Oryzias latipes: one gene and its partners. The protein of the gene in region 2 interacts with the protein of the main gene of each other region in a biochemical or structural test. Links are inferred from orthologs where the notes say so. Each region holds a gene or a part of one and is shown on either strand. Other genes may lie near its edges. The genes, in order: crkl, bcar1, tyrosine-protein phosphatase non-receptor type 12 and ptpn1.

What was found.
Region 1: the proteins of bcar1 (region 2) and crkl interact in a test that uses a peptide from one of them, tested with the Homo sapiens proteins (2 studies listed by BioGRID, with this or other methods). The link is inferred for Oryzias latipes from reciprocal best matches to the Homo sapiens genes BCAR1 and CRKL.
Region 3: the proteins of bcar1 (region 2) and tyrosine-protein phosphatase non-receptor type 12 form a complex in vitro, tested with the Homo sapiens proteins (3 studies listed by BioGRID and IntAct, with this or other methods). The link is inferred for Oryzias latipes from reciprocal best matches to the Homo sapiens genes BCAR1 and PTPN12.
Region 4: the proteins of bcar1 (region 2) and ptpn1 form a complex in vitro, tested with the Homo sapiens proteins (3 studies listed by BioGRID and IntAct, with this or other methods). The link is inferred for Oryzias latipes from reciprocal best matches to the Homo sapiens genes BCAR1 and PTPN1.

The regions. Positions count from the first base shown.
Region 1 is NC_019870.2:17,508,345-17,513,756, reverse strand, and holds the end of crkl (crk-like protein), read right to left. Parts: intron 2,514-5,412; coding exon 2,379-2,513; 3' UTR 921-2,378; downstream 1-920. UniProt on the Homo sapiens protein: May mediate the transduction of intracellular signals.
Region 2 is NC_019864.2:4,918,490-4,923,901, forward strand, and holds part of bcar1 (breast cancer anti-estrogen resistance protein 1), read left to right. Parts: intron 1-3,342; coding exon 3,343-4,041; intron 4,042-5,412. UniProt on the Homo sapiens protein: Docking protein which plays a central coordinating role for tyrosine kinase-based signaling related to cell adhesion. Implicated in induction of cell migration and cell branching. Involved in the BCAR3-mediated inhibition of TGFB signaling.
Region 3 is NC_019881.2:13,834,604-13,840,673, reverse strand, and holds the start of tyrosine-protein phosphatase non-receptor type 12, read right to left. Parts: upstream 3,799-6,070; 5' UTR 3,328-3,798; coding exon 3,226-3,327; intron 2,473-3,225; exon of another isoform or gene 2,404-2,472; intron 1-2,403. UniProt on the Homo sapiens protein: Dephosphorylates a range of proteins, and thereby regulates cellular signaling cascades. Dephosphorylates cellular tyrosine kinases, such as ERBB2 and PTK2B/PYK2, and thereby regulates signaling via ERBB2 and PTK2B/PYK2.
Region 4 is NC_019865.2:21,848,777-21,854,188, forward strand, and holds part of ptpn1 (tyrosine-protein phosphatase non-receptor type 1), read left to right. Parts: intron 1-1,996; coding exon 1,997-2,206; intron 2,207-2,330; coding exon 2,331-2,492; intron 2,493-2,580; coding exon 2,581-2,741; intron 2,742-5,044; coding exon 5,045-5,324; 3' UTR 5,325-5,412. UniProt on the Homo sapiens protein: Tyrosine-protein phosphatase which acts as a regulator of endoplasmic reticulum unfolded protein response. Mediates dephosphorylation of EIF2AK3/PERK; inactivating the protein kinase activity of EIF2AK3/PERK.

The DNA of each region.
Region 1 (5,412 bases), on a different chromosome or scaffold from region 2:
GACTGCAGGAATGCCTTCATCGACCATGCCACACATCCATTTACACACACACACACACACACGGCGTGTGCCCTAAGGAGAGGTCAGACTCCACTAAGTTTGATTCATTACAGTTATTTGCACTGGAGTTACAATCACCCGCCATCTACAGGAATACATCGATTAGCTAGAAGGACAATTTAACCCAGGATGTATGGATTATTGGCCTCACTCAGCCTCATCACATAAACGCAGGCCAAGTCAAATGAAATCCCACCTACTTGTATTCAGATTCCATCACCTGTTCCCTCCTTTTTTTTCCATCCCAAAGTTGTTTACGTGGCCGTCTTCGGTCCAGGTCGACCCCTTTTCCTTTGACCTGGTTCTGGCTAAAGCTGGTGAGGGAATGCTAATCTACAATACTGATACATGAGGGGAGGAGCGGAGCGTGAAACTGTTTATTGGATTGTTTGCAGACTGCCGGCATTTGATGATGTTTTTGAATTGGTCCTTTAGGTCTCAAATAATGACACCAAGATGAGAAACTTTGTGTTCTGGTTGCCAGGAATAGCAGAAAAGTTCCTAAAAATGTGTCACAACAAATCAATGTTCCTGTAGAAAGGCAGTCATAACAGAGGGAGGAGGAAGGAATCACTTTAATTTATACATAGTTTTAAATAGTCCAAGAGGAATAGAATTAGCTGAAAAGTGCTGAACACACGGAAACTGCCCTTCAAAAGTTTTTCTGTTCCGCATCTCTTCGGGGTCAGCTGACGTTCTTTTCTTAGCACTTCATTAAAATGCATTAATTGCTTCCCTTCTCCTGGGCGCAGCAGACTCCAGAAGTGGAGCTGTCGGAAAACAGAGGGGCCGCCCCGCGGCGCGCTCCACAAACGGGCCCCGCCCCCTCCTCCTGCCCCGCGGACAGACGAGGAACGCGGTTTAAAGAAGTAGACGTAAATTTTATTTACTTGCTCTGTACATACAGGGTCAATACCGGCAGAGGTAAGAACCATGGGAAATATTAACACATGTTACATAGTGTAAGAAATTAAAAAGGCACAATTTTCAATTCTGAAGTACAAGACAGGTTTTCCTAAAATAGAAGAACAGTAATACTGTTAATGCCAATACAAAACAAAACAAAAAATCAGAAGCAAGACCAGAAATATGGAAATAAAAATAAAAACTAAGTTGTATTGCTTAATTAGAATTCATTAAATCCTGACAAACAGAACCCAGCTAGGATGAAAAAAAAAAGATAAATCTTTTATTTAATGAAGAGATAAATTTTAAAAAGCAGCATTTGACCAACTCCCCGGCCAAGAGGTCATGCACAGAGGCAACCAGCAGGCATTTGGAATTCCCTTTATTTGATTTTTTTAATGTCCTTTTTGATTTTTAACAATAGTCATTTTGAAATAATCCACTTAAAAGCAGGACAAAAAAAAAACACATGAAACAGAAAAGAAAAACAACTTAAGCTGCACAACTTGAGTGAACGGCTAAGGAGGAGGAGGAGGAAGGGGGCATTATGGCAGAATTAGGAGTTTTCATGGTTTTTTGGACGTAAATAAAACCGGACCAAATGTTTAAAGAGGTTAACACTTAAAGTCAAGATGAAACGCTAAACCATATCTTTTGTTTCGATAGTAGTCAGATGTTTTTGGCAAATACATTGCTATTTGAAATCTTATTCAAATTGGCACTCCTATGCGGCGTGTTCAAAGTCTTTTAGAGCTGAAAGCCGTTAGCACGAAGAACTTTATAACCTTTAAGCTTTATCGGTAAAGAAGAAGGAAAAAAAGAAAGAAAAATCATCAGACGCCATCGGTACCGACAGAATTCAGAGTCCGCCCTCCAACAGACGAAGAGGAAGAGGTTGATCTTATGGCACCGATCAGATGAACCGCCACCCCGGCCGTGCCACGCCCCATCAGGAAGGTGGAGGCAGAAACCATTGGAAGAATCCGACCAATGATGTGTGCGTGTCTGCGGATGGCTCCGCTTCAACGGCGACTAGAAGGATTGGAGAAATAATGGCTGGCTTGTTCCTCATCGATTTTGTTTCCTACCAAATCCAGATTATTTTCCATATCTTGATTTTTCAAAAGCATGGTCTAAATTGTTAAAAACTACACATGGACGTTTCCATACAACTTTCAGTCTGATGCACTGTCATGTGGAAATAAAAAGAGACTGATGAAGAGGAGGAGATAAACTGCCCAGCCTGGAACTAAAACCTGAAAACGGGAGCTGAGGAAGGAGGGTCACATTTGAGACCACAGCTGTAAACTCTTTAAAAGCCCGGTGACAGCTGGCTAACCCCCCGCCCCACATCAAGCAGACAAGCTCGTTACTGTGACGCTGGCGGGACAGGTGGGGCATCCAGGGTCGCGTCAGTCCCCCTCGTCCGGGTTCAGCGGGTCTACGATTTTGACATGAGTGAAGGGAAAGTGCCCCCTGCGTCCGTTCACCTCGCCCTCCCACTGACCGCTGATGTTCATCCGTAGAACTTTGACCATGTCGCCGACCTGTGAGGAGAGAGAAGCAACCAATGACTACGCTGCAAGACCTCCACGTCCACCTCAGTTGGGCTTGATCACATGACATAAGTACAAAAGAAGCGCTTTAAAAGTGTTATCAGCCGATATCCCAAAAGACAGCATAACCAGCAAGAAATTGTTACTTTAAATGTTTACATACATGCAAGACAATCTCATGGCAGCTTGAAGTTTCTAACAAATCAAATAAATCCCATTTGACCAATCGGATGAACCCGCACGGCGTTGATCTTTAGACATATTCCTTTAAACCGGGGGGGGGGGTCCAAACTCATTTTCACCGAGGGCCACGTCAGCAGAGTGGCTGTCCTCAAAGGGCCAGATATGACTTATACATGTAACTAAATGTAATGTAACTTAATGTCAAATGACTCATTTGTTTATTATAACTTTTTAAAGTGACAATTACAGTTGCATAGAAAACATGTTTGCTTGTTACTCTAACATAAATCCTTTTACATTTGATTCTGTCAGGTTAGGTTATATGGACAGTGTTTAAGCCTTAATGTATAGTTACCCAATCTGATATTTCAAGTTCAATTCCCCCTAGATATGAATAAATGCACTCCAATTTCTATTTATTATTCTACGAAATTAAAAACTTTTATGCTCTCGCGGGCCACATAAAATGACATGGAGGGCCACATTTGGCCCCCAGGCCTTGAGTTTGACACATGTGCTTTAGTTTTGGGTGTGACGGTAACCGTATCACCGCGGTGATGAGATGATCGCTGCGTTGATGACTCATCACTGCACGTTCCTCTTTTTTAAATTCTTTTTTGAAAGTTCTGCATATGGTGCGTGATTTGAACTATGATAAACACATTCACACATTCATCTTTGCTAATTATTAACTTTTTCTGCGAGTTCTGTGTTCAAACTTCAAGGTCTTCTGGGGGAATTTCCATTGTATTCATTTCCATTACAACTTGCATTCTTGAGTGTGCGACGCGGCCGCCCGCCAGAGGATTTTGTGTTTTTTGGGGGGGCAAGAGTCCCAACACCATGACTCGTGCTGCTCATCACCGCGGTGATCAAAAATCCCAAACCGTCACAGCTCTAGCTTTAGGGGGTGGCCACAGCCAATCAGTTTTCTCTACTTAGCACAGGTGGTTTGTCAAAGAGTTTGCCCTTCCAGACACAACCCTGTATTTTATCTGGGCTGGGGACAGGCACAGGGAGACCGTTGACCAATCGAATGGAGCTTTATTGTGTTCATTTTTCTCACAACATGCAGCCCTGGTGACAACATTAAAGGGAAACTGAAAGTTTGAACACATCCCCTCTTTAGCTTTAGCATCATTTAGCTACACCCGGTCCCACAGTCCAAATTATGAACATAGGAGCATAGAAATAAAAGGACAGGTTAACAACAAAGACATAAAGCTGGAATAAGAAGAATGAAACTAAAGCTTTAGCCTGAAAAACTGTCAAGCTACGCTCACACTGCCCTCTGCAACAAACATTCAAGTGGCCTCATCCAATGAAAAGTCAATGGAAATGTGCGTAAATCCACATCTGGGCTTCCGTGAGCAAAAATCACGCATAGCTACGCAATATTTTTGAGACCGCTTTCAGGCTCCACATACGTGCGGGCGGCCATTGAAGGTAAAACAACGTCGAACTTCGGCCAATCAGGGATTCGGATTTGGCAGTGACGTATTGGATGGCGTCCCGTTTAAGTCAAGGAAGTGCCAAACTGTTCATGCCCAACAAACCTCTTCCAACTTTAGGTTGCGGATAAGTGCTAGTAAACAGTTGAAAAAGTAGCCCCTCCCTGCTTGTCAAGTGTGAATGCCGTGGGTTAAAAGCATGTCACATGTCCGTGGCATCAAACGACAAAAACCAAACAAAAAAATCCATCCAATCATCTTACTTCAAAGAAACGAAGTTCAGTTCTACATGCTTTGTGCAGTTTCCCCTAACGTGAGCAACAAGACAATAATGACACAAAAAAAAATGTTATTAGGCTGCGAGCTATGACTTCTTCCCAAAACAGAGGCTGATGGGAGGAAAGACATGATGCAACAGAATAAGGTATGTGCTGTCAGAACTAAACAAGTAGGAGATAAATGAGTCAAACTGAAAGGAAAACACAGAAAAGCTTCATGTTCGGATTCTCGTTAGCTGCTGTGCAGCTTAAGGCAAAAATAACAGAGGCTGGAGAGTTTGTATACAGCAGAGTGAATAAAAGGGGTTGGGTCAGCACATGTGACCCACTTCCAAAGAGATGGCGACAGATTTAAGGTATATTCTACACACACAAGTTTCATGTGTTAACCATCTGAGGAAAAAATAGTCAAAACGGCAACATTTAAAAACATCAGTGGAGATTTAGTTTCATTACTATTCTATTTTGCATTGTCATTTCAATAAAGTTCCTTAGAAAAATCTAAATGTAAAGCAGCCTAGTTTTTTGAAACACTATCTTTTTGTTGTTGTTGCTAAAACCCAAACTGATAAAACTCACAACTGTAGCTAATAAACTTAACCCAAACCTTTAGCTCATAATTAATTGCCTTCATTAAGACACAGGACTTAAAAACTTCATTCAAGATCATGTATTACCAATGCTGATAAAATAGACAAGCCAGGGGGTGACGAAAACATCCCCTCCCCCAACAAGGTAAGAAAATAGGGCAAAAATGTCACAGTTGGGGCAAAGGAAGCCCCAGTTTACAGTAGAAAAAAAAATGTACAAGTTTACACTTTATTCATTTCAAATTTTTTTTTTTTTTTTAAATAGTGTAATCTAGGAATGGAATACTTTGTTGCTCCTGAAAAAAAAGCTTCCTTGATGGAGATAGAAATTGACGCAAACTGTTGATTTCCTTCCACACTCATTTCCAGCTTCCTTCTGGGAGCTCTC
Region 2 (5,412 bases):
CATTGAAGAAAAAAGGTTCAGAGCACTGTCTAGTGGGTCTAGATCAGTGTTTTTCAACCTTTTCTGAGCCACGGCACACTTTAACCTTAAAAAAAATCCCGCGGCACACCAGGATCCAAATATTTAAAAAAAAAACAAAAAAAAACGGAGAAACTCATAGTCTGTATTGATCTACAGCCCCTCCCTCCACAATCTCACATGCATTTTTTAGATAATTGTTGCAGAAAAAGCTGGAAACTGCAGCTGTTTTTTTCTAAAAGATGCAATAAAAGTTAAGTTAGACGATTTAAAAACAGTTTGATTTGTGTTCGTTGATTTCAAGACGTTTAACAACAGATCTCCTTGAGCGCTGTCACTCTCACAACCCAATGCATCATGGGAGATGTAGTGCATTAAACGGCCGGCGGAGATCGGATTTCGGAGCTTCATTGTTTTGTTCACTTGTTCCACGGTCTGATACCGGATTCTGTGGAAAGCTACACCGCTAAAGACGAGCTTTAGCTGGTATTTTTGTTAGAACTGAGAGACTTTACGAGCTAAATCGGGACAAGGAAGTGAAGACTTTAAGCACTTCTGAGCTTCCTTGTTTTGTTCACTTGTTCCACGGTCTGACATCGGATTCTGTGGGAAGCTACACCGATAAAGACGAGCTTTAGCTGGTATTTTTGTAAGAACTGAGCGACTTTACGAGCTAAATCGGGACAAGGAAGTGAAGACTTTAAGCACTTCTGATTGGTCAGACTGATGACATGTGATTAAGCTCCCCAAGAATGATTGGTGGAGACAGTTAAAGGGGCGGGACTTTTCCAAAATACAGCCGGAGCTGCAGCTGAATCGCGGTACGTCATTCTTATCAAAATGTCTTTAATAAAATAAAATAAACGCAAAGAAAAAGTATTTTACGATCTTTTATATTCCTAACTCCTCAGTGTTTTATCAGGGCCTGTTTGGATGAACACAGAGCTGAAATCCTGGAGATGGGAAATGTTTAATTTTTCAGTTAATGAGGGCAATTTCCCATGGCACACTTGACCATCTCCCACGGCACACTAGTGTGCCGCGGCACACTGGTTAAAAAACACTGGTCTAGATGACCCAACTCCCAATGTTAAAGTGCCTAGGATAGCATAAGGGTTAAAGATGCTGATGGGGTCAATAATCATTGATCATCTCAGAATGTTAAGAAGTGACCAGAACAAAACCATGCTGTGAGCACATGAGAACATGGAAAGGTCAGAGTTATTTCCTGCAGGTTCAGATTCTCAACAGATCTTCTAATGCTCCAATGTTTTGATTTTTTATGTAAACCTTACCTATAACATTAACTGCAATGAAAGCTACAGACACAACTTTAAATGTGAAGGGAAGTCCTCTTTATGCAGGGTACCTTTCCAAACAATTCTAGCAAAGCAGGCCTCCTTTGGTAGAAGCTTAGAACATTTCTAAACTTGGTCTTAAAGGAGGGTCCAGCATGATTCAACAAAAGTGGAATTCAGATGTGGGCACACACACAGAGGGCAAATCCTTCCAGGTGATTCCAGGACCGAAGCGTCATGCCGCGTGAGCTCAGCCAGTGAATCATCCTCACTGCACTTCCTGTTTTTTGAAGTGAAGAGGAGGACTTTGGCACAAGCTCGCTCAGACGCTGTTTGTAGAAAGCTAGCCCTCTGGTTTAGTCTGTCTAATTTGAAAAACATTCCTTCTCAAGAACTCTGCAACCACCTTGTTAGTTTGAGGGTCAGAGTCCCGCTGTGGCTGTTTGTCTTTTCTCCCATTCACCACTAAAGTCCTGAACAGGCATTAGGAGCTTTCAGCCACACATTTGGAGGCCTGCTCCTTGGCCTCCTTTGCGGCGCAGCGTTTTATGCAACGGGTGTCTGTGAGAGGAGCTGGCTGGCGGCCAGTACAGCCTGTACCAGTCGCTGATAAGTGGGGTGGGACTCTGACACAGAGAGGGAGGGCCGAGGTCAGACGTGAACTGCAAATATTAGCTCCCTTTCAAAGAAGCTGGAGGTGTCTCTGTTTGCTCTCCTGTGTGGACATGAATCCACTGTAAAGAAGAGGAAGCCTCAGTATGGTTCAGCGTGTGCTCAGTCTTCCATCATGTGTGGAAATCAAAGTTCTAAGATGTGGAGAAATCCAGCTGAGGCTTCTGATAAAACATGAATAGGTGCTAGTGGAATTATTAACCTGCTCGGCCTGATCAAACACTTGCAGCAGATCCGTGTCCTTGTACTCTGTCCTCTCATTGGCTGCTTGCTTATCCACTCGGGATGAGGCTGATTTGAAAAATGATTCATAATGTGGTGAAGTGACACGCCGCCTATGGCAGCTGTGTGCGTCTGTGACACTCTGTGAAGCCAGTATGTGCTGAGGCCCTTCAGAGTAAGTTTGGAGTCTTCATCAGTCATAGTGGACCAAAGGATGTCAGACAGTCTTTAATTCCAACACTGTGTTTTTATAAAAGTGTTTCACTACTGCTTCTATGCAATGCAATAATTATGTTAGAACACAGCAACAGTTAACGATCAAAGGCCACACAGCCGATAAAGAAATCAAAATAAATCAAAAATGAAGAAAAAGATCAGATCTGTCCTTCCGTGAGGGATGGTGACCATGAAGGAAATAAACGTGAATTTATACAGAATAATAGAACATGAAGTAAACTGCTTCAAACTTTAGCATGTTGTAGAAAAACCAGCAGAGACAAATGGATCTGTCAGGTTACAACTGAAACCGTGGATTTAAATATTGAGGGGAATTAACTGAACTGATGGAGCTGCACACAATTAAGTTTAAACCTGGAGGAAAACAAATGACAAATGAGCTCAAAGCATGACTGAAGACAGGACAACTGGACCAAAAAAGGCACCAGTCTTCTCACAGTGTTTCTCCTTTTCCACTCAAATATATAAAAATCTGATGAGTCTTTGGGGGGGCTTCCTGAGTCTGTTGTTGGAGCAGTTCAGAGCCTACGATGCGTAGTGATCCGTCTTTAAACCCGTGTGGTTTTAAATCGCATTCATTCTTCCTGACACTAAAGACACTAAACCCCATTGGCTGTGTAGAGTCGCCGGTACATGCTGTGTGTGTCCATGAAAAGATGGCTTTGTGTGAATGCATGAGTGTGTGTGTCACTGTGGTGTAAAGCATGTTAGTTGTTGCTATCCATTTTTTGTTGTTAATCATAATGGGTTTCTTTTTACCAACTGCAGTCCTTTGACCAGCCTTTTGAAGTGAACTTTGGTTAGATCATTCAAAGCCATTGTTTGATGGTAAGCTGTGGGCAGGTGACTTGTTGGTTAAGCACTAAAGAAGAGTCTGTTTGTCTTTCTCTCACAGAACGTTTTGGCCAAGGCCTTGTACGACAATGTGGCCGAGTCTCCGGACGAGCTGTCCTTCCGCAAAGGCGACATCATGACAGTGCTGGAGCGAGACACTCAGGGGCTGGATGGTTGGTGGCTCTGCTCTCTCCATGGACGCCAAGGCATCGTCCCTGGAAATCGCCTCAAGATCCTTGTTGGCATGTATGACAATAAGCAGCAGCAGGCCTCTCCTTCCACTCCAGATCCCACCTCTCAGGTACTGCGACCTTTTCCCACTAAGAGCGCCTATCCCAAACCATCTCTTAAACCACCTGCGGCATCTGTGGGGTTTGCAACCAAGTCCATTCCAACGGTCCAGTACACATCCATGCACCCAGCCTACTCCACTCCCAGTCCTGCACAGTCCAGCCCTGACTCTGTTTACATGATGCCTCCCTCTCATGGTCCAAAGCCAAGCTCCCAAGGTGTGTATCAGGTTCCTTCTGGTCCAAGCGGACCCTCTCCCCAGGCCCAACCAGGACCCCCCAGTAAGACAACGCCTGTAGGCCACAGGCAGTTTCAGGCGCCTGGACAGGATATCTACCAGGTTCCCCCATCTGTTGGCCCAGGGCCAGGCCAAGGAACTGCTCCACCTGCAGGTGGACAGGATGTGTACCAAGTACCCCCCTCCTTGGAGAAAAGAAACTGGGACGGCAGCAACAAACCCATTGGCAAGGTAAGAAAAAGTAGAGAAGGAAGGAAATCAGGAAATGAGGTGGAAAGTTTGAGCTGAAGTTTTATTTCCATGAAAGAGCTCAAAGGAAAACAGAGAGGTGGCACTTTAGAGCCAAACGTTTGATAACGCTGTTCCCAACTCGGCTTCTGGGTGTTTTTCAGGCAGGCATGCACACTTCCGGACATTGTTGGTTTGTGTGTTTCTTTCTGCAGAGCAAAAACTGGTAGTTCTTGTTAAACAAAAAAAATGTCTCTTATTAGGTACAGGTCATTACAATGGGCCTGCATTATCTCAACTGGATTGTACAGGCAGTCCATGACTGGGAGTAAAAGTCACATAGAAAGAACTGTGTTGTATGCCCCAGAATACAAAACTGACCTGCGTTTTCCATTCTGCGGGAGAAAACCAGCGTGAGCTGCCGTCTTGGACAGCTGTTTATCCCTTCATGACAGCGTGCACGTCATCACGTAAAACTGAAAACTGTCACAAGACATTGTCTTGTGTGTCAAAAAGACAAAAAAGCTCCACGTGACTGAAATGTTGAAGCAGATCGGACAGACTTTCAGTCAGAAAGCTTCATATTTGCCAGTGCTATAAACATGTCCACAGGCTCCAACAGTCAACATCCCTCTTTGGTTTTAATCCCATCACATAAAGATGCAGAGCTAGCTGCAGGTTTTTCTGAGATTCTGCAGGTCGAGGACCATTGGTCGTTCCACACGGTTTCTGGAAGTTCAGGGGGAAGGGGACAAACACTGGTGTCATTATGTGCGTGGAGGTGAGGTTAAGTCTGCAAGCGTGCGGGGGGGGGGGGGGGGGGGGTAAACCGCAGCCTGCTGGAGAATCCTAGGATTGTTAATAATTCAGTTGCAATGTCAGGGTTGGATGGATGTGTGCATGTCACCATGCCAGCTGGAGATGGGTTGTGTGTCCATGGTTGCTCATGTGTGTTAAAATGTGTGTGTGTTCGTGTGTTTGTGGTGAATAAAATATTTTGTTGTGGGTCTTTGCAGTTTGTTAAGCTTGTGCTATCCTATGACCCCACCCTTACATTAATGTGTTATTCCTACCATGACAAAGGTGGATAAAGGTGGAAAGATTTCATGTAATCCATGGACACCAGTAACGATCACAAATCATTGAAGAAAAAAGGTTCAGAGCACTGTCTAGTGGGTCTAGATGACCCAACTCCCAATGTTAAAGTGCCTAGGATAGCACAAGTTTGGCAAACCAAACCACGAGGAATCATCTTGGTGAGTCTTCCTGTTTTCCAAAAGCTAATAGAAAAAAACAGAATGAAAAGAAGCAGCTTAGCTGCAGGTGTGTGTGTTGTGTCCTGCACCTCTCTAAAGAAAGCTGCAGGCTCATTTC
Region 3 (6,070 bases), on a different chromosome or scaffold from region 2:
ATTTAAAGTCTCAAAACAATCCAACTAAACATTTTCTTTAACTTTTTCTAGCTTAATCTGCTGCCAAACCTCATAAGTACATTGACCTTTAAAATCTGCTAAGTCTCAAGCAACTATCCTTGTACGACATTATTTTATCATAAATGTTGCTGATGGTACAGCTAAAGACCTCAATATATTTTCAAATACAACGCATACAAATTGACCAACTTAACAAAATAACATGGAGCCTTCAATTACAACAATCAGTAAAATTTAACTTGCTTGAAAACAACCAACACAGATCACAGACCTAGAAACGTTCAGTTACAAATGCAGAGAATTTGGTCTTTTGTGGCACATACAACATTTGCTTCTTTTAAACATCTAAAAACATTAAATGGCTTTGGAGTTTTTATTAATTTGTTTTCCCTAAATTAAAATGTATGAATGTATATTTTTTATTTGCTTATATTTTTTATATTTGGCTTTGAAGTAAATTTTTCTTTTTAATTTTTGTTTATACCATGACGTCTTAATCTACTTTACTGTCACCTGGTGACTAATATAGCTTTATCAGCTCTATTTTTGCCCTTTTTCCTCCATCAAGAAACAATAACCAACATCTTTGTCTCAACGTGTATCCATGAACGTGCCATCAGTGCAAAACTGTCCATGTTTATTAACACATGCACTAATAGCTGGGTGGAAAAGTTGCAGCTTGACTGGACCAGCTGATAAGCTCTCTTGTGAAACAAGTATGATTTTCAAGGTTTGGTTTTGCAGAAGCAGCATCCATCCAGATGTAGCAATTTTGCGGGAGCTGTGTCATGGGAGAGACTTACCGATACACAAACTGCTTTTTACACAATTAAAAGTTTCTGAAATAAACCACAACATTTTAAAGTTGGTTTAAAAATGTTTCCATGGAATTAAAACTTGAATTATGTTAACTTCAACCTTAATTTTGTGGGTGAATTCACAGACTAAATTTGTTTTTTGGAGTTTTCTTCTTATCTCTAATACAAAATAGAAGAAATTCACTAAAAGTATAACAATGATCTAAAATTTAACAATTAAAAAAAAAAAAAATCCTGTTTCCTCTGTCCTCACCCTTAGGTATTTTCTATGTAATTTATTTCTTTCCGAACACCACAGAAATAGAAACCTCCCTGCAAAAAGACAACTCCAGCAATTAAATGGGTTATACGGTCGCATATAGGAACAGACTTGACAAGACAATAACTTAACTCCACAGGACACTTCTTAGATTTCAACACTGGATTATAAAAAAACATCTAAAGCAATTCTGCTCCATCAAATTGCTTAAAACGGCTGCTGAACAAAGTGTATAATCTTGACTCTTTGCCCTAACGCAACCTGCAATTATGTCTATATAACACGTTCTATATATAAACAACAATAGGCGGTTAGAGTACAGTTATGTCAGGGCGCTCTGGTGAGGCACTGTTCAGAAAAGCCCACCCTATATACATGAAAACGTTTAGGCTTCACCAATTGGTAAAGAATGGATCCTCACATGCTTCATGTGTTAGCTTCCAAAGCAGTGAAACAGGCAGTAACAATATGGAAGTTGTGAGGCAGCATGAGGATAAGCATGAAATGTGTGTCACAGTAGAAGTTTATTACTGTACATATTTTACAACCAAAATACACTAAAAGTCTCTGCAAGGTGGAAGAACAAAATTAAAAACATAATCAAATTATAGCTCTTTTTTTTTAAAACACTTTCTTCCATAACTTCCTGAATGTCTTGCACAGACAGTTCAGTCTGCTTTGCGCAACACCTATCAGCCCCTTGTTTACAGAATCCTCAAAGCACAGACCAACTAATGAACGCAACAGCAACAAAACAAGACTAAGATAGCATTTTTATATTTTTTAATTTTTTATTTATTTAATTATGGTTCTGTCTTCCTTAAAGCAGTGATTCAAAGTGTGAGATTTGTTGACAAAGCTCCACTTTTAAAGCCAGGACAAAATGTTTTGTAATAGGCCAAGAAAGAATGTTGCAAGCTACAGCAAGCTGCTTGCATGAAGCATGGAAGTAAGGTGTGTGCGTGTGTGTGTGCGTTTCTGCAAGTGTAGACAGAGGGGGCAAAAGTTAGCTGATGCTGATTAACCTCTTTCTTGGAGACAACAAACTCAATATTTAAACAAAACGTAAAAGAGTAACAGCATCTTCTATCTATAGTTGGAACAATGCAATGACGGATATATTGAAATAATTGGTCATAGAAGAGTTTCTCGACTTATTTTAGCCTAAACTTTGCCCTAAAAGGTCCACCTCATGCTAAATGTTATTACAGAAAGTCATTTCACAAGTCAGGGAGTGGAAGAAGCTTCATTTAGATTCCAAAATTTCGACATCCCTCTTTTTTTTCTTTTTTTTCTTTTATATACCAAGAACATTCTTTGAACTACCGATTTGCAGCCATCAAAAAGCTAAACTCCAACCAGCTTTCTAATTTGGTAAACAAACCTTCATTTATAATATTTTCAAGTATGTTAAATAGATATAAGCAAAAAACCAAGCAGGTCAATACATTTTGTAAGTTTACAGAGTCATTTTGTTTTATAATGATCTTTAATGCTGCTTTAAGTATTTCTGATGACATTTTTAAGTTGTAATATTTAGACTTTTCTATTTTTTATAGCAAACTGTGACCCTAAAAAATGCATAGCTGATATGCTAGTAGCAATTTCTTGTCACTGCATTCAATGGTTATAGTTGTGGACCACATCTATAACGTACAAGAGAGGACAATGAAGCACTAGTGCACTGTCTGCCAACAATCAGGCATGATTAACAGCGGAGGAAGCGACTATCTGCTCCAGCCCACAATAAGCCGCCTTAGCGCCACCAAAACACAAGCAAGGGGGCTTTGAACCGACGCGTTGAGCTAATTCCCCCTATTCCAATTCTTAAAGAACAGAAGTCGGCGGTGTGTCTGTGCGTCGGGACACAATGCTAGGCCGCCATATAAAGCCTGGAAATGAGAGGAAAAGGAAGAGGGCAGGCAGTGTGGCCGCCCCTACCTCACCTCCTCCTGGGGGGATGCAGGAACCAAGAAACGGGAAGGGTGATGGTATGGAGGGAGAGTCGGCGAAAAGGGGGAAAAGGTGGAGACTAAGTATAAACATGGGGACGACTTCCAATTAGATTAAAAAAAAACAAAGAGAGGGAGAGAGAAGGATAGGTTAGAGTCCAGCAGATTTACTCACCATAAAGTCACTACCAAAGTTGTCCTCTCCCCTCTCCTTGTCCCCTTCACTCATGGCCTTCACCCCTTGGATAAACTTTCTCAGGATGCCGGCTTGCTCCATCCTTCAATCCTCTTGTAGCGTTTTCAAAAATCCCCAAACTAGCAAGGGGGGTAGATATGTTTTTTTTGTATGTAAAGAGAACAAATGAGGGGGGAAAGGGGGAATAAATAAAAATAAATAAGCTTCACGGGTCTTCCCACGGAGTCATCGTCGGTCAACACATTTTCGTATTATCGCCCCATGTTGTTTCCTCCTTTCCTTCTTTCTTCTTGACTGTTTTTACGACAGCCGTTAGTCCCAAAAATAAAGCCGTCGCCGGCTTTCCTGCTGTCCAAACACCGCCGTGGCGTGATTTAAAAAAGAAAACACTATGTTAAGACATGAAAAAAATATGTATATATATATTGGAGAGAGGGCAAGGGGGGGCAATTGACCGGTGTGGTCATAAAATCTACCCCTCCCTGCCTACCTCGATTGCCACATTCACACAGTGCTGCTCGTTAGTCCGCTACTGGGGAACATCCGGACTGGGCAAAGCCAACAAGATGTAGACCCTCCCCTTTCACGAAAAAGGAGGGATCCGATTGGTCACAAGGTAATTTAGAACTGGAATGTCATTGGTTAAACTGGGTGTAGTCACACCAAATACCCAGCTGTGATTGGACATCCCATGTGTCGGTCATTTTAATTCCCATAGCAGAGTCATCGTGAGAATATCATGGATCAGATGTTCAAACGAAATGGATAGAAAAATAAAAAAACACACAATTTATAGCGATGATCAGTTTTTCAAGAAGTAATAAGTGATGAGGATAATATTGAGGACCAGAGTAAAGAAGAAAAACAGTCAGAATGACGGATCCAAACAATAATCTGGATTAGAGGCTGCCGAAAATGGAAACAGACGATGTTTCACATCAACAAGATCCCTCTCTGATTTAAAAGAAAATACAACAAAAAAACGTTAAAAAAAAAACATTGTTCTAACTTTACTTGAAAAAAACAGCAGGATAATAATAATAATATAATATACTATCAAAGCATTCTGTATTTAAGCACATATTTTCTTTTTACCATTGGGACACTCAAATTTTGATTTAGTCTGTGATAGCCTATGCCTAAAAAAAAGAACTGATCACTTTATGGAAAGAGTCAGAGGACAGGATATGAAAAGATACTCACTCCTGATGAATTCTCCTTTGCCAGTCACACAAATGAAGAAGGAGAATTGACTTGCTTTGTTTCCTCTAGTTCTACCAAAAAGACGAGGGTTGAGTAAAAGAGAAGGACATTGTCCCAGAGCCACGAGCATTTTAAATTACAAAAGCTGCTTGTTTTTGCTCTTGCCTTTAAACCATATTATTTTTTTCCATCTCTAGTCTTTTTCCATGCTTCTTTTTATTTTGCTCTATTCTTATCATGTGTGTAAACTGTCAAAAGTCAATCTATTCAACTGTTTTTGAATGGGTTTGATTTCATTTTTTGTACAAATTAAATCCAAGACAAAAATATATTAGATATGTTAATTTGTATACTGTTAGTATGAAAGCAAACTGATTCACTACAAAAAACTGTTCCCTTTTGAAAGAAAAACACAGTAAATTTGAATTTCAGTTGAAAATCTACCCTTTACTTTTTAGGGGGAAAACGTTGGATCATATTAAAATGATCTCCCATGCGAAACACATGACTTTATCATTTTATGAACTGAGAACCTATTCTGTAAAAGTTGAATCCCCCATTCATCTAACAAAGAACATACTTTGCTTCAGGGTAGAATGGCCCATTAAGTTGTGGCAAATGAGTGTATAAGGCAGACAAAGAAATATGCATACTTTTCCAGAAACGCTTACAATAAGTGTTATTCTATAATTCTAGTAAAATAAAAATATAACATATGTTTTGCACATTTGAATGCATATCATTGAAAGGAGTTGTGGCATGAAACATGTTATTCTTTTTTTTTACAAATCTTTATTTTCTCTTTAAGCTGAGTACTATTCAAGTTATTCATTATTACATATGAAAACAAACAGTTTGCCAAACAGAAACTTTATGTAACCCTTGTGGTATCCTAGGCACTTTAGCATTGGGAGTTGGGTCATCTAGACCCACTAGACAGTGCGCTGAACCTTTTTTCTTCAATGATTTGTGATCTTCACTGGTGTCCATGGATTACATGAAATCTTTCCACCTTTATCCACCTTTGTCATGGTAGGAAGAACACGTAAATGTAAGGGTGCGGTCATCTAAGATAGCACAACGGTTAAAACACAATATGTAACCCTTGTGCTATCCTAGGCACTTTAACATTGGGAGTTGGGTCATCTAGACCCCGCAAGACAGTGCGCTGAACTTTTTTCTTCAATGATTCGTGATCTTCACTGGTTTCCATGGCTTACATGATCCTAGGATAGCACAAGGGTTAAGTAAAAATGTCTGTGTTTGAGCCCAAATCCTCTAATTTATCAGATCACAGTTATAAAACAGGTAGTAAGATATATTGCATAATCTGTGAGTTCTCCAGGACTTTGATGGGGAAAACTGCTCCTTCTAACCGTTAAATGACCCCATACCAATGTTTTCCCATCCACTCTACATGTGCACTTGTAACCAATCTAGAAACTGTACGCAGAATATTATTTTAAGTAAACCTAACATCCATCTCTCTGTCATTTCCTCTTCTCAGCACTGGTTCTAGTTACCCTGCACTCCTTCTGACCCTGACCTCTGACCTCTTTGTAGGGAAGGGAGGGCCAAAATTTCACTGCCATTTTTTACAAATGAAATTATATTTACCCTC
Region 4 (5,412 bases), on a different chromosome or scaffold from region 2:
GCTGGATAGCCCAGATATTCCTCGCCATTTTTGTTGCACCGGTAATGTTAGGTTGGGGTTGTGAGGGGCTGTAAGCTAGTTGGAGAGTGTAAACCGATAGGTTACAGGATTTAGGGAAGGGATTGCTCCGTGCTCTGCAAAAACTATGTTCTAGAAAATTTGATTCAATTTATTGATTTATTTCAAGCATTGTAGTCAAAGCAATAAAGAATTTACACATCTTATCAAACTCATGACAGAAATGTTGAAATGCATAGATTAATAAGACAGAAAATAAAACAAAAAGTCACATAAATCACATTTGCTTAATTAAATACAGTGATCATTAACTAAAGTCACGTAGAGCTTGATTTATTGCTTGAAAGGGAGCGGGAAGAAGCAAATTTATATAATCCCACCCCTGCTGAGTTAATTCATTTGATAGTTTTACATAGTTTTGGTAATTTGGTTCTGATTCGATACATTCTTTTTGAGTAAAAAGATCCTGTGCCTATTAATGATTTATCTTCAGAAAACATTTACCGGTATTCATGACTTTAGTAAACAGTTAACGGTAACATTATGTAATAATCATTGATTATTAGAACACAATATCACATTAAACCAGTAATTATTGCTACACATTCAGATCAAGTAAAGAAAATCAATAGCTTATTGATTGTAATTTAAACATTTCAGTGATCATTATTGCACATTACAATGTAATAATCATTGATTGTAATTAAAAGAGCTTTGATTATTTCACCACAATCAAGTTCAAACATTTATTTGGAATTATTCAAACACCTGTTGATCCTTAACTCTTCTTATCTTTATATCGTGAAATCAGAGTTTCTTTATACCTTTTCTTGAATATTTGAATATTTTTTTAGCTCATTACTAAACCCGTTCCAAAATTTAGTGCCACACACCGACACAGAGAAACATTTCTTTGTGATTCTTATCAATTTGATCTTGAAGTTCCTACATCCCCTCAGTCTGTAGCCTCCTTCATTTTCTAAAAACTGTTTTTGGATATTGAATGGTAACGATTTACCACTGACTCGTATAAAGGTTGCGCACTGTAAAAATCCACAAGGTCATACAGTTTTCAAAGTCTGGATTCATAAAATAAATTGTATGATCAAGATAGCCAGCTTTATGACGGCTCGTTTTTGAAGTAAAAGATGTAGTGAGCTCTTGTAATCATTCCCCAGATTTCTATACAGTAGGTGAAATATGGCAATATTAAACAGTACAATACATATCTTCAGTTTTATTGTAAAATGTATTTGGATTTACTTATAACTGAAATACTTTGTGAGACTTTAGTTTGTATGTGTCTGATGTGCAGCTTCCAACTTAGTTTGTCATCGATAACAAGCCCTAAGAACTTGTAACATCTGTAACACTTTCAATTAGGGCATTATTTATTTATTTCAACTGAGAGCTCGGTACTGGCGTTGTAGTTACCAAAAACATCACTTTGGTTTTATCTAGGTTCCAAGATAATTTGTTGTAATCCATCCATGATTTTATTTTGGTTAACTCTGTGTTTACCACATGTTCCCTATGATTGTCTGTAGAATAGAATATGTTTGTGTCATCAGCCAATAATGAGTTTCATAAGCTTTGAAACATTGAATATATCCTTTATGTATATATTGAATTGCAGCGGGCCCAGAATTGATCTTTGTGGGACACCTCAACTTATCTCAAAATGACACATGTTTTTTTGATATTGGGTCAAATGGCATATTGATAATTAAAAGACCACTGGGAACGTTTTTAAAATAGGTCAAACGATGATCTGAGTGAGACAAAATACAAAATATCTTCACTGTATTTTTTTATGCAACTGTGACCATAAAACGGAGAAATGTAATGTTTTTTTTGTGACTTTCATCTAAACTTAAATTTTAGCTTTGATGCTTTTGATTGTTGCATTTGTCTATAGTTACACAATCCCTGCTTTTGTTCGGCTGCCTAACACATCCCGCTGCTCCTCCTCCCGCAGACTCAGGAGACGCGGGAGATTCTACATTTTCACTACACCACCTGGCCAGACTTTGGGGTACCAGAATCTCCCGCCTCTTTCTTAAACTTCCTGTTCAAGGTGAGGGAGTCCGGCTGTCTGAATTCCGACCAGGGACCAGTGGTGGTGCACTGCAGCGCTGGCATTGGGCGCTCTGGGACCTTCTGTCTCGTGGACACCTGCCTCTTGTTGGTTTGTACCCAAACTTCATTTGTGATTGACATTGTTCAGGACGTTTTGAGAATTAAGAAGCTGAAGCGTGACTATAAAGATGTGGAACATGGAGGCTGACGTCCTGCATGCCTTTGCTGTTCAGATGTCTCTTCGTAAGGACCCATCCTCTGTGCGTATTCGCGACGTGCTGCTCGAGATGCGTCGCTATCGAATGGGCTTGATACAAACTGCAGATCAGCTTCGCTTTTCTTACCTGGCTGTAATAGAAGGTGCCAAGTACATCAAAGGGGATGTATCTCTGCAGGTAACTTCTTGTCGTCCTCTCCCCTGCTCAGATGTTTGCAGGCTGTTGTCAGATGCACGTCGATAACTTCAAGCATCTTGCTTTTAAGGAGTCGTGGAAAGAGCTCTCAAATGAGGAAGACGACCCTCCAGAGTTCACACCTCCCCCTCCTCTTCCTCCTCCGAGGGACCCTTACAACGGGAAAACCGGGAGGTCCTTTTTCCCTGAACATGTAGAGATCATCCCTGAGATGAGGATTCCCACTCTTGGGTAATATTTTCAACCATGTTCTGATTCTGTGAACAAAGGTTGACTTCCATGGCTGCTTTTTATTGAACAGAAATGCATTTCAATAGTGAGGTTTACTTTGAATGAGGGCTTGATACTCAAAAAGGAAGAAAACAAAACATCCTTACATCCGTCATCACAGACCTGAGCTTGTCCCCCCCCCTCAATTTAACCCTTAATGTCCATTGATAAAGTGATGGAGAAGCTGCAGACAAGATGGTGCCTGACATCATCATCCGGAAGCAGAAATTATACAACTAACCCTAACCCAAAAGTGTTTAGAGTTGGAAAAAGTAAACTTTTATTAAAGCTTAAAACAGGAAAAATGGTAACTCTTGGCGCCGCCAGTAAAATAGTTTTCTTCGAGCGATATGGGGAGACTTCTGGTTGAGGAGTTCCGGTTTTGGCAGTTGATGTCTGCAGCTAGGTCCTCTTGCACTGATGATGTTGAGAGCTTACCTTTATTTTGGAGCTGCCACTGGATGACGGCCGCTTCCAGCTGGATTTGTTTTTGATGACTTGCTGTCCCACAACAGTCCGAAGAAGGCAAAAATCTAAAATAAGAATGAAATTTGAGGATGTTTTTACTACAGTCTCGATACAAATAAAAAAAAAACATAAAGTTCAGGAGCAGCTCAACAATCAACTCCTTCCAATTTATTTGTTTGGAGGATAAGCCCCTTGAGATGTGTCATCTCGTTTTCAAGGGGGTCCTCAACATACAACAAAACAAGCAAATGCCGACAGATACAGTTGAGCAAACTTTACATATGTCAAAACAGAGAAAAACTTAAAATTTCCAAAACAACGAGCAGACACACACACATACCCACACACACACAAACATTGACATTTAATGCTCCTACTAGCAGTTAGTTTAAGGTAAGGAAACAAAAATAATAAATAAAAAGCAGAAAAGAAATCACTCCTCCATGTTGGTTTTGGACTCCAGCCGCTGTTCACATCATGAAGTCGTCACTGCCAAAGCTTCAAAATGCACCGCAGGACTTCCTATCACATCAGCACAATAACTTATCCCTGAAAGGCCCCTGCCACACAAATCTCGTTTTAGAGCTGATCGCCCTTGTCAAACCTGAAAGTCCTCATTAGGTTGTTGTAGAAGCTGTGGAACTGTAGGGCAGCTCTGGCAGAAGAAGCAGTGATGCAGAACCTCCCATCAGTGCAGCGTGACTGAAAGGAGCTGGAGCCTGTGAGGGATCTTTGCTAGAATGACGGCATGCCGATCCTTCAGCCGTCAGCTGCAAACTGCTTGCTGCACGTCATTTCGCATGTTGTAGCTTGCAGTTTGCTCAAGCAGGAGTTAATTTTGTTTTTTCAAACTGTCAATATCAAATATGCATTGATGTGCGACTTCTATTACTTCAACAGTGACGCATTTTGTAAAAAAAACAAACAAACATGAAGATCTTTTCAGGATAAGACAGTGATCCAACAGTCATGCTTTGGAATATTTGAACCTCAGACTCTGTTTCAGTATTTTGAGGTCATTTGTATTTGGAGAGCAACCAGATTCTCCTTCATGTTGGTTTTTTGACTCTACTCGCTGATCGCATCATCAACGCCTCACAGCCAAAGCTGAGTCGCTGATTGGTTGACGCAAAGCAAATTCTTCACCAAAGTTCAAGTTCTCGTCTGTACGTTGACTTAATATTAAAACTGCGCACATCGCGTTCAGTGTGAACGCAGCTTTAGTCACATGCACCCAAACAGGGGTCCTTACGTTGTTGGTAAGGTGCGAGCACTGGCTCCTTACTGACCACTGAATGCTGCACGCATTGGATGAGCAGGTGACGCGCAAGTGCCTGTGGGTCGGACGTCCACACAAACAACACTCTGTTTGATTTCCACATTTCTAACAGCCAGGCTGCTCACAGAGGCTTTACAAACCTGTACGGGGCATGCAGGAGGGCTGCACAAATGTTGTACAGGCCACCTGCATGCCCCGTACAGGTTTGCCCATTTTTCACCAGGAGACAGCCCGCATTTACCCGTAAGGAGGTCAGCAGAGGGAAGTGTGAAGCACTCTTGGACTGAGTAAAGCACAGCAAACCAACAGCAGAGGTTCTTGAAAACCTCTTGATCCATATTTCTCAAATAAAACAACTTTTAGTCATAATATACTGGAATGCACATATATATAAATAAACCTTTATTCAGAGGTTTACTGGGTTGATCCTTGGCTGGGAATTTTTTTCTCATTTTGGCTGTTATGTGCATGAAATGAGAAGCAAAACTTCACAATCTGACACTGTTCTCCCATTCAGGTTGTCACGAGACGGAGATGTTCGCAAGAGGAACATAGCTGACCCCCAGCCCCCTTCAGGCGGTGATGATCTGCCGGATGTGGAAGAAGCTCCCTCCAAGCCTTTAAGGAAACCCCATCAGCAGTGGGAGGAAGGGGAGCAGGAGCTGCCTGAAGTGCAGGAGCAGCCAACAGGAAAGTCTCCTGCCCCGGGGAACTGGTCCCCTCTTCTAACCAACGTGTGCCTGTGCACGGCGCTGGCCCTCAGTGCTTACGTTTGGTATCGAGCCTATTTCCACTGATGTCTGTCCGCCCTCTTCTGATTTACTCCTGTTATTCCACCGTCGCCACAAAAATGGACTCGGATGGCCAACCGGCATTCTTTGACTC